Arabidopsis thaliana: one gene and its partners. The protein of the gene in region 1 purifies or fractionates together with the protein of each later gene. This does not show direct contact. Each region holds a gene or a part of one and is shown on either strand. Other genes may lie near its edges.

Region 1 (4,305 bases):
AGACTAATAGAGTCAATAACTCATTCTTTAAAATATATAGAACTAGCTGGAAACAATAGATTTGAATGGTACTACTTAGAATCCAGCAGGGTTCTTTAAAGTCATCATGAAGCAATGCAAAGTCTACCACTCTTGGCGTAATTGTTTTTTGGCACAAAAGTTAATGCAAAAGTCTTGATTATCGCAATTTTTCTTATGATGCCTTTGGTTTCTAACATCAGAGGATAAAAAAAGAATTTCACGAACAAAAATTGTGAATTTTGATATGCATAGAGGCGAGCTATAGACTCCCTAACGTGCTATTGCGTCGAGCCGTGGTGCTTACCTAGTTACACAGTATAACAAGCCTGCTTTAGTTTTATTTCATAAACCAATATAATGTAAATCACTTACTATGGCTTTTCGTATTTAGTAAACAATTTTACATTTATAATTTTCAGTTGACCTAAATTAAAAAATATGTACTACAATTAATCAATAGTTACTACGTATTACTAAAGAATCAATATTTGTTATGTGGTAATCAATGATGTCACGTCAATTCTTGACATTATTTTGTACGATTTAGAAAGCTACCGTCTACTAAAATATGTGCATAATTTAACGTTCATTATTTTAGAAAACAGTTTGCTTTGTCTATTTTTCTGAGTGTCAACTCTCATTTACAACTCATCAGTAAATATATAGATAACAAGTCACAAGTGTCTCCCATAATGATTAAGTTAGGTTGACTTAAAACATGATTAAGGTCAGACACACACACACATACATATATAGAAAGCTTTCAGTTTTTAGAACTAGTTAGTGACAATAAAAAGCCTATTGGTGAAACATCAGCACTTGTAACAACTTTTAAGTATATTTATTCAAATACATCATAATAGATTTTTGATCAAAAGAGATCATCATGTTCCTAAAAGTAATACTTGACTTGAATTTTCATGGCTTGGCACAAACTGAGAGATAAATGTCTTTTTTCAATCATTAAATATCTTAAAATATATATATATATATATATATATATATATCTTAAACATGAATGTTTTTGTTTTGGTATAAACGTGAATTATTCATGAACTGTTAATAGGTTTCAATGTCAATTGGATCGAATTATTGTATATATCTCTTGCTTGAAACTATATGTCGTGTGTCTTCATTTTTTTGTTTTCCTAATTGAATACTTTATACATGCATGTAGTATTATTATACAAAACCAAGATAATTTTTTTTAATGCTTCTGTTGATGATCTGAGTAATTTTGGACATATCTAAGAGTTAAGGGTGTAAAGTGCAATTTTCAGCAAATAAAACGTGGTTCCCGCTAACCCATGTTATCATTTTTGGTTTCAACCTTCAGCAAACTTAATTAATATTTGGTTATGAACTTTATTAAAATTTTGCAAGATTATCATAAGATTGTCGTATAAAGAGTGCTGAATCTTGACTTAATTTCATAAAACTGCTGATCTAAAATCGACATCTATGTAGTAAGTTCTGATCGGTTTGCTTGAACATATACGGTTGAGCTAGGACAATTATTCTTTGATTTATTACTTTAAATACTAGTATCAATTTTATTCACAAATTTATTTTTGTAATTTTTTTATACAAGCCTTTAATTTACCTTTTTTTTATTCACACATTACATGGCAATCACTTAATCACCAAAAACCGTATAGGATTAGGATCGTAATTTGCAAGTTATTAAGAAGATTTGGCAGATTACATCTCTAATTCAATAATGTTGTTACGTCACATAACTTCTTAAATAATTGATAAACTCTCTTAAATACGAACTTAATTGGTCTAGCCGGAATCTAAAGTCAACCCTAAACTCCTCCTTCTTCCTTTTAAGAGACACACAAGAGACAACCTTTCTTCTCCGTATCTCTCTTTCTCTCTCTCAGCTCTCTCAAACATGTCAGGAGCAATAACATGCTCTGCGGCCGATCTCGCCACCCTACTTGGCCCCAACGCCACGGCGGCGGCCGACTACATTTGCGGCCAATTAGGCACCGTTAACAACAAGTTCACCGATGCAGCCTTCGCCATAGACAACACCTACCTCCTCTTCTCTGCCTACCTTGTCTTCGCCATGCAGCTCGGCTTCGCTATGCTTTGTGCTGGTTCTGTTAGAGCCAAGAATACGATGAACATCATGCTTACCAATGTCCTTGACGCTGCAGCCGGAGGACTCTTCTACTATCTCTTTGGTTACGCCTTTGCCTTTGGAGGATCCTCCGAAGGGTTCATTGGAAGACACAACTTTGCTCTTAGAGACTTTCCGACTCCCACAGCTGATTACTCTTTCTTCCTCTACCAATGGGCGTTCGCAATCGCGGCCGCTGGAATCACAAGTGGTTCGATCGCAGAGAGGACTCAGTTCGTGGCTTACTTGATATACTCTTCTTTCTTAACCGGATTTGTTTACCCGGTTGTCTCTCACTGGTTTTGGTCCCCGGATGGATGGGCCAGTCCCTTTCGTTCAGCGGATGATCGTTTGTTTAGCACCGGAGCCATTGACTTTGCTGGCTCCGGTGTTGTTCACATGGTTGGTGGCATAGCAGGTTTATGGGGTGCTCTTATTGAAGGTCCTCGTCGTGGTCGGTTCGAGAAAGGTGGTCGCGCTATTGCTCTGCGCGGCCACTCTGCCTCGCTAGTAGTCTTAGGAACCTTCCTCCTATGGTTTGGATGGTATGGTTTCAACCCCGGTTCCTTCACTAAGATACTCGTTCCGTATAATTCTGGTTCCAACTACGGCCAATGGAGCGGAATCGGCCGTACAGCGGTTAACACCACACTCTCAGGATGCACAGCAGCTCTAACCACACTCTTTGGTAAACGTCTCCTATCAGGCCACTGGAACGTAACGGACGTTTGCAACGGGTTACTCGGTGGGTTTGCGGCCATAACCGCAGGTTGCTCCGTCGTAGAGCCATGGGCAGCGATTGTGTGCGGCTTCATGGCTTCTGTCGTCCTTATCGGATGCAACAAGCTCGCGGAGCTTGTACAATATGATGATCCACTCGAGGCAGCCCAACTACATGGAGGGTGTGGCGCGTGGGGGTTGATATTCGTAGGATTGTTTGCCAAAGAGAAGTATCTAAACGAGGTTTATGGCGCCACCCCGGGAAGGCCATATGGACTATTTATGGGCGGAGGAGGGAAGCTGTTGGGAGCACAATTGGTTCAAATACTTGTGATTGTAGGATGGGTTAGTGCCACAATGGGAACACTCTTCTTCATCCTCAAAAGGCTCAATCTGCTTAGGATCTCGGAGCAGCATGAAATGCAAGGGATGGATATGACACGTCACGGTGGCTTTGCTTATATCTACCATGATAATGATGATGAGTCTCATAGAGTGGATCCTGGATCTCCTTTCCCTCGATCAGCTACTCCTCCTCGCGTTTAATTTTCAACTTTTTGGTAATTTATTACCGTTTAAGTATTGTTTGGGTTTTGGTTTTGAAATATAAATATTTGGATGTTTTGGTTTGTTTTAAGTGACCTATCGTCTTTTTGTGTTTATAAGTGTTTTAGTTTATGTTTTTTTTTTTTTTCTTGAATTTTAATTTTACATGCCTCGGCTAATGTTTATGCTATTTCTTAGAAATTTATATATACAACTTTTGGTGATCCAAAAAGGAGAGTTATGCATATACTGTATACAACTTTGCTTAGGTTTTTGTTCTGCCGACGGCATTAGGAAATTGGAGTACACAAAAGTTGTTCTTAGAATAATATAAATTCTGAAAAATCATTTGTGTACCATTTCGTACCAAAAGCAGAACTTAGTCATTCCCTTATGTACACGTAAAGCGATTTTTTCCAATTAGTTAACTAGCCACGCTTAGGTACACGTAGATATTATCTTTTACTTGAACGATGTTGGTTAATAAATAATACTAGAAGAAATATGACATGTCATTACATCTATGTAACTGGTCACTTGTTTAGAACTATTGAACTAAGCCTAATGGGTTTTATTAGCCTAACAATTGTTGCTATTAATCGTACAAACTAAAATTAAAATATAAATCAAATTCTTGCGTCCTCGATAACTTTAAACAAAGGAGTATGACCCATATTTTGTGGTTGATAAATTTTAGCACCTAATATTTCAATAGTATTTTTTATTTATTTCAAATTCTGCTAAACAAAAATTTTTATAACATATATTCCTTGTTTGTATACACTTTCGAGACCTGTAGAATCATGGAATTACGATGCAATTCCAGTAGCTTATACCTTGCACATCATCTTTTTGTGCATATTAGTCGTCAAACTGTATTTAAATATTCT
Region 2 (7,875 bases), about 13 Mb from region 1:
GTTGAGAAAAATATATCGCATGACTCTTATATAGTTTTATTATATGTACGTAATATATAGAGTGGATCACAACTTGGTTACCAGTACCGACAGAAATAATCTCCACCCATGTTTTAACTTCTCTTTTTTTTCATGTGTAAAGAAATTTTTTGTGTGTTTTCTATCTTTCATTTGGCATGTTTTGTAGATAAATATAGCCAAAAAGAAAGAAAGATATAAGTGTTATATTGACAATACAAGATAATCTCGTAATGTAATAGCTCCAATTGTTGAAAAGAAAAAACAAAAAATATAAAGAGCAGTTTGCCATATATATCAATTGGAAACTATTCAGTTTTAATTCCATTTTCATAGAATTTTTTATAACAATCTCAAATCCAAAAGCTGGAATAAAGATAAGTGAATTGGGCAAGTGACCGTGACGTGACGACCAACATGAACAATTTTTTTTTTTTTCCTTTACACTTCCATTAAAACGAAAATTACAAGCCTTAAAAGCCCATGACGGCCACATAGCCCAATAAAAAGCAACAAAATACATTCATCTGAAGTATATAAACGGCTTCCTGAAAACTTTGAAGTAGCTAAGCAATAGGACGTGAAACACTTATATTTGAAGATTAAACTGGATTGTTACTTTAAGTTTCAATCCAATTTCGTAATGACCAAGTTCGTTTTTAAGTGTAGTCTCATTATTCGAACATCTCGCAGAACATGTTTACTTGACTTGCGCACCAGTTGTTCGTCAAAATGTCCACATGAACTTCTCAAAACACCAGTGTTTCAATGAACTTCATGCTTACATCTTCAAATGATTTTTGCTGATTTTAGTTTCTTTTATTTATTTATATACTATGAGTTCGAGAAACTCTTGGAGTCTTAGAAAGTAGAGTGAAATGCCTATGTTTTCCTTGAGTTGTAATGCCAAAACCAGAAGCTGTAGATTTCAATGGAGAAAACTACAGGACCATGGAAGCTTTATTTTTACAGGCTTTCGCAATCTGAAGATGCACTTTGATGCCTATGGATACTTCTTGACCAGTTGCATGATGTCACATCCAACAAGGTACCACAAATTTCACCCTTATTTTATTATCTTCCGTAATTGGTACGGGCATGGATCTTGCTCTCATTAAACAATAAGAAAACAGAATTAAACAAGGCAAGAAACTTGTCGTCGAAAAGACGTCCGGCTAAATTGTTGTTGTCCACTAAATGGTTCTTTTGTCTTCTGAAGATTTATATGGTCATAAACTTGTCATACATATTTTTAATTATTGATTTTGCTATAATGGACGGTGTTAAGCTCTCAAGAATCTCGGAATATCCTGATTAGCGTAGAAAATATAAAAATCCCAACATTATGGATCACCACTATCTTGAATTGTTTATTATAGATTTTTTACATTTTCTGAGAGTTTTCTTTCTTTCACGTTCTAAGAATAGGACCGTGCTAAATAATGCGATTAAGGGAGAATTTTGATCGAATTATTTGACGCGTGTGCCAATTGTTTTTTTTTGTTTTGTTTGTCCCTCTAACCTTTTCAATAGACAAAAACAGAGGTCAATGCTTTGATTAGCTCGACCTTAGACATTAACAACTTAGTCAGATTTGTTTTTTGACTTTTGTGAATTTTCTTCTCCTGATTACTAGGATTAGGAGTTACAATTAATCTAGGATTCTTACGGAGGTAAAATGTTAGTCAAAAGAAGAAACCTAATGCAGTTTAGTTTAGATTTCTTACTACCCTAATGCCATTAGATGCTGAGAGGGGCTACAATTTTCTACGTCTTCAAATGTACATTGGTAAAGGAATATCTGTTTTCTCAGATCTTTTTTTTTCATCCTTATTTTAATTACATTTTGCGGTAACAATAGTGACAATAAAAAAAGAAGAAGAAGAGTTAGTTGCATTTTGAATGAGTCAGCTTTCTTCTGCATTGGGTTAATCTGGCCGGCAAAATCTTTGAATTCGTTATTATATAGACCTTCTTGTCTTCTTTATATATTGCTTGCATTACACATTTGTCTCAACTTCCAGATTTGCCCCTGGTTTAAAACGATTGTCCTGTTTCCTTTGTGAAGGTCAAGCTTTGAAGGGCTAACGGGTGATGCTTTGGTGAAGGTTTTTTCTGGTCCAGGTTTGTGCTTATTTTGCATTGCTTCTCTTTGATTCACGTCTGCATAAACATCAAATAATTCATTTATGTTTGAGTTGATTATGTAGAAAAAATTATTAGGGGAGATGCTTTATGATAAGAAAAAAAAGTGGTCTTGTGGTATCTTAAGGCAGAAGGAAAATATTTAGTGTCTTAATGAGTAATAGATTTATCTGTCTATCCAGATTTTATAACTGAGTTTTAGTAACTTCCGGCTCAAGCAAAAAGGAAGTTCGATATGACGGACATAGAAGCTCTCAAGGCTATCACCACGGAGAGCATTGATCTGGTATGTACTTTTATACCTCACCACTTTTTTTTTGCAGATGATTGCTTCTGATAGCTTTTATGTCAAATATGAACAAATGCAATTTCTCATGGATCGTTGCAGGAAAATGTTCCCGTTGAAGAGGTTTTTCAACATCTCAAATGCACGAAAGAAGGATTGACCTCCAATGAAGTGCAGGAGCGACTTACCTTGTTTGGTTACAACAAACTTGAGGAGAAAAAGGTTTTAAAAAATGATTTTTCAATCTTGCATTGATCTCTTATTTTCTCTCTATGGATGGTATGTTGATCTCTCTTTCTATTTGGTTCTGCAGGAGAGTAAGATACTCAAGTTCTTGGGATTCATGTGGAATCCACTTTCATGGGTCATGGAAGCTGCAGCCCTCATGGCCATTGGTCTTGCACATGGAGGAGTACGTCTTTTGTTCCCTCTCATTAGTCGTTTCTTTCCACAATATGTAAATACGTAAAATTGTGAAAGGTATAGCTTAACATAGAATTTTAAAACAATTTTGAGAGTCTGAAGAAACTAATTTGTCTCAACTCTTCAGGGAAAGCCAGCGGATTATCACGATTTCGTGGGTATTGTGGTCTTACTTTTGATAAACTCGACAATCAGTTTTGTAGAAGAAAACAATGCTGGAAATGCAGCTGCTGCTCTCATGGCTCAGTTAGCCCCTAAAGCGAAGGTTTAAATTTATTCCTTTTAGTTGCGCTCATTTAAATTTGATGGTAGTAGCTTATTTACAAATCAATTGTTTTAGGCCGTCCGCGATGGCAAATGGAATGAGATAGATGCAGCTGAGTTGGTTCCAGGAGATATAGTTAGTATCAAACTTGGAGATATCATTCCTGCTGATGCTCGTCTTCTTGAAGGAGACCCTTTAAAGATTGACCAGGCAAGTTCTACTTCTAATATTGGTTTATCATTGCTCTGTATCTTATCTCTCCCTTGACTAATCTTGGTTATTTATCTTTTCCTCAGTCAGCACTTACAGGTGAATCTCTTCCGGTAACCAAAAATCCTGGTGCTTCAGTGTACTCTGGTTCAACTTGCAAGCAAGGTGAAATTGAAGCAGTTGTTATAGCGACTGGTGTCCACACTTTCTTTGGAAAGGCGGCTCATCTTGTGGATAGTACTACGCATGTCGGTCACTTCCAGAAGGTTTGTTCTCACTTTGGAGTAAAATATAAAAGTTTACAAAGATTTTGGAGTCAATGACTAAATTTAATCTTTGTATATTGGTTTCCAGGTTTTGACAGCAATAGGAAATTTCTGTATCTGCTCGATTGCAGTAGGAATGGCAATTGAAATCGTTGTTATATACGGTCTTCAAAAGAGAGGGTACCGTGTTGGTATTGATAACCTTCTTGTTTTATTGATTGGTGGGATCCCCATTGCAATGCCTACTGTTCTCTCTGTTACAATGGCAATTGGTGCTCATCGCTTGGCTCAACAGGTCAATACAAGTCTTAAGACAGAGTCAGTTAACTTTTGTTGATTTGTGTTTCTTTATAAATGACTTTAAAATCCATTTCAGGGTGCCATAACAAAGAGAATGACAGCCATTGAAGAAATGGCAGGAATGGATGTTCTGTGCAGTGATAAAACAGGTACTCTCACGCTCAACAAGCTTTCTGTGGATAAGAATCTGATCGAGGTTTGCCTCTTTCCTCTGTTCTTCTTACTTTGTATTTAAAAATCTTGATAGGTTGAGGACGATGATGTAATTAGAGCACTTTCATTTCTTTTAAAACAGGTTTTTAAGAGGGGCATCGACAGAGATATGGCTGTGCTTATGGCTGCAAGAGCTGCACGTTTAGAGAACCAAGATGCTATTGATACTGCAATTGTTTCGATGTTGTCAGACCCGAAAGAGGTATTAATTAAAGACTCAACTTTCAAGTAAACAAGATTCAGTTACTTTCAAAGGTATAAACATTGTGATGTATTGATCTGATACTTTGTCTTCAGGCACGTGCCGGGATTAAAGAACTCCATTTTCTTCCATTCAGTCCAGCTAATAGAAGAACTGCACTAACGTACCTAGACGGAGAAGGCAAAATGCACCGAGTGAGCAAAGGCGCGCCTGAAGAGGTTATAACCTTTGCTGTCAACTTTCTTTATAAATAGCTATTACTACATTACTTTAAGTTTACCCACTGTTTCCTAAGATATTGTTCTGATGATTTGTCCTTCTCTAGATTTTGGATATGGCCCACAACAAATTAGAAATCAAGGAGAAAGTACATGCTACAATCGACAAATTTGCAGAACGTGGCCTAAGATCGCTTGGGTTGGCATATCAGGTAATTATGTTTTAAATGTGGCACTTGTTTTAAATGGGATAACTCCTACGATTCCATTGTAACGATCCCTTTTCCAATAATAGGAAGTACCAGATGGTGATGTTAAAGGTGAAGGTGGTCCATGGGACTTTGTAGCTCTTCTTCCTCTGTTTGATCCTCCTCGTCATGACAGTGCACAGACAATTGAGCGAGCACTTCATCTTGGAGTCAGTGTTAAAATGATCACAGGTAAAGAGCCAGTCTTTAGCTCCTTTCCGCCATATCATTAGGTCCTACTCCACCTTGGATTCTTGTGTATTCATAAAATGTCAAAAATCTCAATACTTGCAGGTGACCAGCTTGCAATTGCCAAAGAAACAGGAAGAAGGCTTGGAATGGGCACAAACATGTACCCATCTTCATCTTTGCTTTCTGATAACAACACTGAAGGAGTTTCTGTCGATGAACTTATCGAGAACGCAGATGGTTTTGCAGGAGTCTTTCCTGGTAATGCTACTTACTTGTAAACTTCATTTGTAACTATGATCTTTGAGAGATATCTGACATTGACAACCCCCTTTTTCTGATTTTTAGAGCATAAGTATGAGATTGTGAAGAGATTACAATCCCGAAAACACATATGTGGTATGACTGGTGATGGAGTGAATGACGCACCTGCCTTGAAGAAAGCTGATATTGGAATTGCTGTGGATGATGCCACTGATGCTGCTCGGGGTGCTTCTGATATTGTCTTAACAGAACCTGGACTTAGTGTTATCATCAGTGCTGTCTTGACTAGCCGTGCAATTTTCCAGAGAATGAAAAATTACACGGTACATAAATGCTTCTGCCTCATTGGCTATTACCTGATAAAGTTTAAATTGAATGCTTATATTGAATTTTTTTGGTTTACCTTCATTTTGCAGATATATGCTGTTTCTATCACTATACGTATTGTCGTAAGTTTCTCAGTCGAAATTGCATCAGATTTTCACAAATACTTGGTCTTATTTTCTATACCTTTGTGTTACAGATGGGTTTCATGCTTCTATGTGTCTTCTGGGAGTTTGACTTCCCTCCATTCATGGTTCTTGTAATTGCAATCCTTAACGATGGTTAGTAACTGTTAACTCCCTCGATGATTTAGCTTACGGCTTTTGCTGGTGCTTGAAGCATTCACCCTGCTAAATTTGCTTTCCTGTTGAAAAGGTACTATAATGACCATATCCAAGGACAGAGTCAAGCCTTCTCCAACTCCAGATTGTTGGAAACTCAAAGAAATTTTTGCTACTGGTGTTGTGCTTGGAGCTTACTTGGCGATCATGACTGTTGTGTTTTTCTGGGCAGCATACGAAACCAACTTCTTCCATGTAAGCTACACACTATCCCTCTCCTTGTTTACTCTAATTTCAACTGTCAGCAAAATATAACTATACTTTTTTCCCTTTTGTGGTAGAACATTTTCCATGTGAGAAACTTCAACCAGCACCATTTCAAAATGAAAGACAAGAAAGTGGCTGCACATTTGAATGAACAGATGGCTTCCGCGGTCTACCTTCAAGTCAGCACGATCAGCCAAGCGTTGATCTTCGTGACCCGTTCCAGGAGCTGGTCATTTGTTGAGCGTCCCGGTTTTCTTCTTGTAATTGCTTTCCTAATAGCTCAGCTGGTAAAGAGATTTCCGTCACCTATCTCATTATTTTCCTTAGTTACTTACCTCTTTGTTTATAGTTTGTTAATAGAATCCAACTCTGTATTATTTTGATAGGTTGCATCGGTGATATCGGCAATGGCAAATTGGCCTTTTGCTGGAATCAGAAGCATTGGATGGGGTTGGACTGGAGTTATCTGGATATTCAACATAGTAACTTACATGTTACTTGATCCTATCAAATTCCTAGTCCGTTATGCTCTAAGTGGCAAATCATGGGACCGAATGGTCGAGGGGAGGGTACGTAGACCAAAAAAAAGACAGAATCACTTAACTCTAAATTCGGTACTTCACAATTACGTTGGCCTAACTAGAACTCGTGATTTGTTTGCAGACTGCACTCACAGGAAAGAAGAATTTTGGCCAAGAAGAAAGAATGGCTGCGTGGGCCACCGAGAAGCGTACACAGCACGGTTTAGAGACGGGTCAAAAGCCAGTTTATGAGAGAAATAGCGCAACGGAACTTAACAATATGGCTGAGGAAGCTAAAAGGCGTGCAGAAATTGCAAGGTTAGTTTTTTTTTTATATTAGAGATCGTTAGTCTCTGTCATGTTTGAGAGATGATCTCATTTCTAGTATGCTGATGAATTTTGCAGAATGAGAGAGCTTCAGACATTGAAGGGGAAGGTTGAATCAGCTGCAAAGCTGAAAGGCTATGATCTTGAGGATCCTAACAGCAACAACTACACAATCTGAGACAGTCTCAATCTCTGCTTAGTTCATTTTGTCTTTTATTTTCGATGTATTATTATTAATTCTTCTTGATATATTGACATTAGTTTTGATATCTTTGTGGAAGATGTCTCACATGTTGTAATCTTTCAATTGATGCCTGTAACTTTCTTACTTTTTATTTGATGAAAATTCTTATTTGATTGGTTTTGTTCGGTTCTTTACTGAAATAAAACCAAACCGAGTCAAACCAAACTAGACTAAACCGTCTGAACACAACTCGAACCAAACTAACTATGGTTGAGGACACTCGAACCAAACTAACTATGGTTGAGGTCCGCTAGAGTTTTATTACAACCGAATTAACCGAACCGAAAATAAACCGAAATGCACCCCCTAACTACACCTAACGCAAAAGAATATACTCCACAGAGATGTTTGTTTTTTTAACCAGACCGGTTTAAATTTGTTTCTTTTCAGATAGAACAGAAGTATCCAAGTCTTTTAAAGTTTTAATTCTCGCAAACCAACAATTACTGTTTGACTAATTACTTCTCACGCGCCAAATTCGCACGTGTAAGACAACCCAACTAAAAGTTAACTAACTCACAAGTGCGTGCTCCACACGTGCCTATCTGTTGATAAGAATGCCACAATTTTCATCTCATATTCTCATTGAACAAAAATAATAAATTCTCAGTGATCCTTCGAGAGATTGATTATAAAATCCGGTCGGCGACGAGACTTACTTTCG
Region 3 (5,634 bases), on another chromosome or scaffold:
TTGATGATATCATTTCTTTTCAGTCGCATTAGATAACAATAGACACGATATCAAATATGTTCGAAGTGCCCAAGCTGCGGATTTAACTAAAAAATCTTTCTCTATTTTTAAAGGAGTTTGGTTGACCAAGTGTTTAGGAACGTTGTATCATATCTTTTGATTTACAAATGTAAAGAGGTTGTTTTTGGGTCCATAGATGTTTTCTAAGAGACCCTTTATAACTCCTTCTTACAATATTCTTAACGATTATTTTTTTTTTTGAATTACTTAATATCTCAAGATGAGATATGATTTAGAAAATTCTGCAAATGGATGACATATAGTGGAATGATTGGAAAATTTTGAGTTGAACAAAACAAAGTTGAACATCATTCAACTCATCCCTCTGTAAAATAGTAGATGAAAGAGTTGAACAATTTTTTTTTATAATTTGTTTATTTTTTCAATTTTTGGCTGAATGGGTTGAATCAATTTTCCAATATATTCATTTCAAATGGTAAAAGGTGAGATGAATAGTCATTCAACATTTTCATTTCAACCTCTTATTATGTTATCCTGAACTCAGTATGTAGATAGATACTTTTCAGATTTTTTCACCTATCTTTGCATCTGCTTTGTAAAATTGTCATCTAGAAGAGATGGTGGAAAGTCACTAGGCTAGATTGTGCTATCTTTAGGTCCGAGATTCTAGCCTCGTTTTCTCCTCCCCAAAATTTTAAAATTTAAACCTCAATACAATGAATAAAAAGATAAATTATGTGTACAATGACTTTGGAAAAACATAAAAAAAAAAAAGACAATATGGAGTTAAAAGAAAAAAACTTAAAGTATCTACATACTCCCACAATAGTGTATAGATATGCATACGAAACTTCATATGGAAAAGGAAATATTTTGTTAACTAGAGATACTTCAGGCTCACTATCCAACTAATCTAATGTATTCGTTGAATAGTTTACTGTCCAAATTTTCTAACAGATCTAAAATGTGATACCAGTAACTGACCAACCGAAAATAAAAAGTTTTCCAGTAAAAACGAAAAAAAAAAAAATAATATACACCATGTCCCTAAACTTTTTATCCTTAGGAAAATGGTTAGAAATCTACATATTCAGAAACAAAATATACAAATACGATCAAATGCAGAAAGCTTTCAATTTCATAAACCGATGACCCGATCAATGTTTGGCTAATTATTTTTCTAAATAAATTTTGATACAATTCGCGGGCCACAAATTTATGATATATGCGTTATGTATTTTATATTGTGTATATATTCTGCTGGCAATTGGGAGATAATCTATATATATAATAGCTAACCAGGTTTATGTGTTTAGGTTTATGTGCTTGCTCACGACTGTTTTTTTTCAATAAAAAAACATCAACATCCAACGGTCAAAACATAGGCAGGGGAATCCACAAACAAATCTTAGAGCAACTACATTACATAATAGAAAGAAGATGTCTTTAACAATATTAAAATATTAAATTTACAAAATATTAATAATCAAATATGAAGGATATTTAAATTAGAGACATCCTCTCAAAAATGTCTCTATTTAGACATTTAAGACAATGTGTCTTTACTTTAAAGACATTCAAAAATTAAAATAATATTTATTTTGAATATATTATATTTTAAGTGTAAGAAGACACTCAACTTATTTGTGCAATGGAGTTGCTCTTAGCATACAACATTTATATAAGACTACGACATTACCCCTCCCTTCAGCTATAAATAGCAAATCAAGAAACTTTTCCGCAATTATACATCAATACATTGTGGATAAATATATAAACGAGAAAAAATGGGAAATATGAGAAGCTTAGTGAAGACGTTAATGGTGGTTCTATTTCTTGGATGGATTTTGGTTTGGATTATGATTTCAACTAATCTTTTTAAAAGCAAATGGACCCCGAAACTCTCCAAGTATCTCAATACTACTTATTTTGGCCCTCAAGGTATTAATTTCTCGATTTAATTATCTCACATTTTAATATTTTGATTCCTTTATTTTGAGTATTCAAGAATTATATCTTGTATGTCTAGGCACGAATCTTGTGCTTCTCACGGTTCCCATGATGTTCATTGCGGTTCTAAGTTGTGTTTATTTGCATATCCAGAAGAAACCAACCCAACCTCAAAGGTACAACTTGTTATACTTTTATTTTTATTGACAACATGTAAATATTTGCAATAAATTATCACAATCCTATTTATATGAATGCAGAGAATGGAAGCTAAAAAGGATAATGGGGAGGGTGATTATGGTGATGAACCCATTGGGGATAGTGACAGCCACGGAGTTAACTTTTTCTCTATTGTTTGTTGCTCTTTTGGCTTGGTCCCTCTACAATTATCTCTACCTTAGCTATCACGTCCACCTTCATAACGACGACAACGCAAAAATGTAAGCTTCTATTTGTTTTCTACTTCCATTTGAAAATGATTTATCAAAATATCACATGGAGATAATTCAACACTATGTTTTATATAAAAGATATGAACATCTCACTTATTACTAGATTTGAATTCGATAAGTCATCATTTTCACATGGTTACGCTATAGCGGATGAAATAGACCAAAAACAACGGCGCATTTTTTGCACTGCCATTATTAGTATATCCCATCCATGCATAGTACCAAAATATTTACATCCTTAAAAAAGAAACAGATATTTAAATCCATAGGAGAATTTGATTGAACATTGATTCAAATGGTGCAGATGGCAGGCAAAGTTTAGGGCTTTCGGCCTGAGAATAGGATATGTGGGCAACATCTGTTGGGCCTTTTTGTTCTTCCCGGTGACAAGAGCCTCTACGATTCTGCCACTTGTCGGGTTAACGTCAGAGTCAAGTATAAAATATCACATTTGGCTTGGACATGTCTCAAATTTTTGCTTCCTCGTTCACACAGTCGTTTTCCTTATCTACTGGGCCATGATCAATAAGTTGATGGAGGTCCGTGTTACATGCATCTACCTTAATCTTATCCTTAAAACAAAACAAAACAAAACTTTCATTCTTTCTTTTATTCCAACTGATATTTGTTTTTACGTTTTCTTATATATGTGAAGACGTTTGCATGGAATCCAACATATGTGCCTAATCTGGCCGGAACAATAGCGATGGTGATTGGAATAGCGATGTGGGTGACGAGTTTACCATCCTTTAGACGAAAGAAGTTTGAGATTTTCTTCTACACTCACCATCTCTACGGTCTCTATATAGTCTTCTACGTAATCCACGTGGGAGACTCGTGGTTCTGCATGATCTTGCCAAACATCTTTCTCTTTTTTATAGACCGATACTTGAGATTCTTACAATCCACCAAGAGATCCAGACTTGTGTCTGCTAGGATCTTACCTTCAGACAACCTCGAACTCACTTTCTCCAAAACCCCAGGTTTATAACTAGTTCATCCATTTACGTTGACATTCAAATGTTTTGGGTTTATAATCTGAAAGAGAAATATAATATAAAATTGGATTTTAATTAATTATATACTTTGAATAGTATTTGCATTTTAATTTGAACTAGAGTGCCACGTTCAAGAGAGAGATGCATGCTTCATGATTGTTGTAACCATTTGTTTTACTAACTATAGGGCTACATTATACCCCAACAAGCATATTGTTTCTACATGTGCCAAGCATTTCGAAGATTCAATGGCATCCATTTACTATAACTTCGAGCAGCAACTTAGAGAAAGATACATTAAGTGTTGTAATCAGAAGACAGGGAAGTTGGACTCAAAAGCTTTACACACATCTCTCTTCTTCCATTGATTCTCTCGAAGTTTCTACTGAGGGTCCGTATGGCCCTAACTCTTTTGATGTCTCAAGGTACAAAACTCAAAGGTGTTATTTCAGTTTCATACTTAATTACTTTATCTTAAGTTAGTCTAATTATATTGTCTCCATCATTTTCGTCTTATATAGGCATAACTCTCTAATACTAGTGAGCGGTGGAAGCGGAATTACACCCTTCATTTCGGTTATCAGAGAACTCATATCTCAGAGCCAAAACAAGAGCACAAAGCTACCAGATGTTCTTCTTGTTTGTTCTTTTAAACATTACCATGATCTTGCGTTTTTAGACCTAATCTTCCCACTGGATATGTCAGCCTCTGACATTTCTAGGCTGAATCTCCGAATTGAGGCCTATATTACAAGAGAAGACAAGAAGCCCGAGACAACTGATGACCACAGACTTCTTCAAACAAAATGGTTTAAACCGCAGCCTCTAGACTCTCCTATCTCACCTGTTCTTGGACCAAACAACTTCCTCTGGCTCGGAGTTGTGATCTTATCATCATTCGTCATGTTTCTCTTGCTCATAGGGATCGTCACACGTTACTATATATACCCTGTTGACCATAATACAGGATCCATCTACAATTTCTCATATAGAGGGCTTTGGGACATGTTTCTAGGAAGTGCGTGCATTTTCATCTCTTCCAGTGTAGTTTTCTTATGGCGCAAGAAACAGAACAAAGAAGGGGATAAGGAGTTCAAGAATCAGGTACAAAGCGTAGAGTTTCAGACACCCACTTCTTCTCCAGGTTCATGGTTCCACGGCCACGAGAGAGAGCTCGAGAGTGTTCCCTATCAATCTATAGTACAAGCCACTTCAGTCCACTTCGGCTCCAAACCTAATCTGAAAAGTAAGTAATCTATTACCACTATATTCGACATGATAGCATCACTTACATTACATAAATGGTGTAAGTGAAATTACATATGCATGAATCTGATACTTTAACCTTGTCGCTTTGCAGAGATTCTACTTGAGGCTGAGGGTTCAGAAGACGTTGGGGTGATGGTTTGCGGACCAAGAAAGATGAGACATGAAGTTGCAAAGATATGTTCATCTGGTTTGGCTAAGAACCTTCACTTTGAGGCAATTAGTTTCAACTGGTGATGTATTCCATGTTCTAACTATGTGTGTTTATATTCATCGTAATAACTTTTGATGTTTTAGATGGTTTGCTGTTTGATTTTCTATTTTTAATACAATTTAAAATGGAATGTTAATGTATATGTTATCCTGCACCTTCATTATTATCAATTTCTAATCATCATTAATCCTATTGAGCCCATTATAGACTTAGTGAGTGTTTTTTCTTTGTTAACTTTTTTTGCTTTTCTCTTTCTTCATTTTTCTTTCATATTCATTACTTCCTTCTGTTTCATATCGTAAGATATTTAATTTTGGGAAAAAATTACATAAATGTTTACGTGTTTGATTTAAAGTCTATTTGACCACTAATCTATACCACTTTAAACTTATATAGTAAATTAAGTGAAATATAATTAGATTGCAATTAGATGAAATAAAAATACTGTAATGCGTTAAAACATCTTATAAAATTAAAACAGATCCAAGTAGTATAGCAAAGGTCACTTTTATTCTATAGCACAAGTCCATTTTTTAACCGGTCTATGTTTAGACTTGTTTGATAAACATAATTATTACTAGATGAGGATACTAGGACTTGGAGTAGCGTAAACGAGTAGTTCACTATCATGCTCATACTTAGCCATGTCGGTTTCAGGTAGTGTAACCCTTGCCTCAACCCCTTCACTGTCCTTTGAGTCCATTAACACGACCTGCGTCTTATCAACTGAATC

What was found. Proteins that work in one complex are often made in the same cells at the same time.
Region 2: the proteins of AMT1;3 (region 1) and HA7 purify together in Arabidopsis thaliana (affinity purification with mass spectrometry, with the first as the bait; one large-scale study listed by BioGRID). This does not show direct contact.
Region 3: the proteins of AMT1;3 (region 1) and FRO4 purify together in Arabidopsis thaliana (affinity purification with mass spectrometry, with the first as the bait; one large-scale study listed by BioGRID). This does not show direct contact.

Annotation. Positions count from the first base shown.
Region 1 is NC_003074.8:8,804,968-8,809,272, reverse strand, and holds AMT1;3 (ammonium transporter 1;3), read left to right. Parts: upstream 1-1,812; 5' UTR 1,813-1,918; coding exon 1,919-3,415; 3' UTR 3,416-3,754; downstream 3,755-4,305.
Region 2 is NC_003074.8:22,296,365-22,304,239, forward strand, and holds HA7 (H[+]-ATPase 7), read left to right. Parts: upstream 1-2,161; intron 2,162-2,184; exon of another isoform or gene 2,185-2,345; 5' UTR 2,346-2,398; coding exon 2,399-2,449; intron 2,450-2,551; coding exon 2,552-2,671; intron 2,672-2,762; coding exon 2,763-2,861; intron 2,862-2,999; coding exon 3,000-3,137; intron 3,138-3,212; coding exon 3,213-3,347; coding exon of another isoform or gene 3,348-3,351; intron 3,352-3,433; coding exon 3,434-3,613; intron 3,614-3,701; coding exon 3,702-3,908; intron 3,909-3,989; coding exon 3,990-4,109; intron 4,110-4,208; coding exon 4,209-4,328; intron 4,329-4,423; coding exon 4,424-4,546; intron 4,547-4,653; coding exon 4,654-4,758; intron 4,759-4,841; coding exon 4,842-4,986; intron 4,987-5,088; coding exon 5,089-5,244; intron 5,245-5,331; coding exon 5,332-5,570; intron 5,571-5,663; coding exon 5,664-5,696; intron 5,697-5,770; coding exon 5,771-5,852; intron 5,853-5,946; coding exon 5,947-6,107; intron 6,108-6,193; coding exon 6,194-6,406; and 8 more. Other genes in the region: AT3G60328 (uncharacterized protein), read right to left, coding at 2,003-2,161. UniProt on the Arabidopsis thaliana protein: The plasma membrane H(+) ATPase of plants and fungi generates a proton gradient that drives the active transport of nutrients by H(+)-symport. The resulting external acidification and/or internal alkinization may mediate growth responses.
Region 3 is NC_003076.8:8,097,457-8,103,090, reverse strand, and holds FRO4 (ferric reduction oxidase 4), read left to right. Parts: upstream 1-1,760; 5' UTR 1,761-1,808; coding exon 1,809-1,962; intron 1,963-2,050; coding exon 2,051-2,147; intron 2,148-2,231; coding exon 2,232-2,411; intron 2,412-2,727; coding exon 2,728-2,962; intron 2,963-3,078; coding exon 3,079-3,406; intron 3,407-3,608; coding exon 3,609-3,846; intron 3,847-3,942; coding exon 3,943-4,667; intron 4,668-4,781; coding exon 4,782-4,924; 3' UTR 4,925-5,113; downstream 5,114-5,634. Other genes in the region: AT5G23970 (HXXXD-type acyl-transferase family protein), read right to left, coding at 5,479-5,634. UniProt on the Arabidopsis thaliana protein: Ferric chelate reductase. May participate in the transport of electrons to a Fe(3+) ion via FAD and heme intermediates.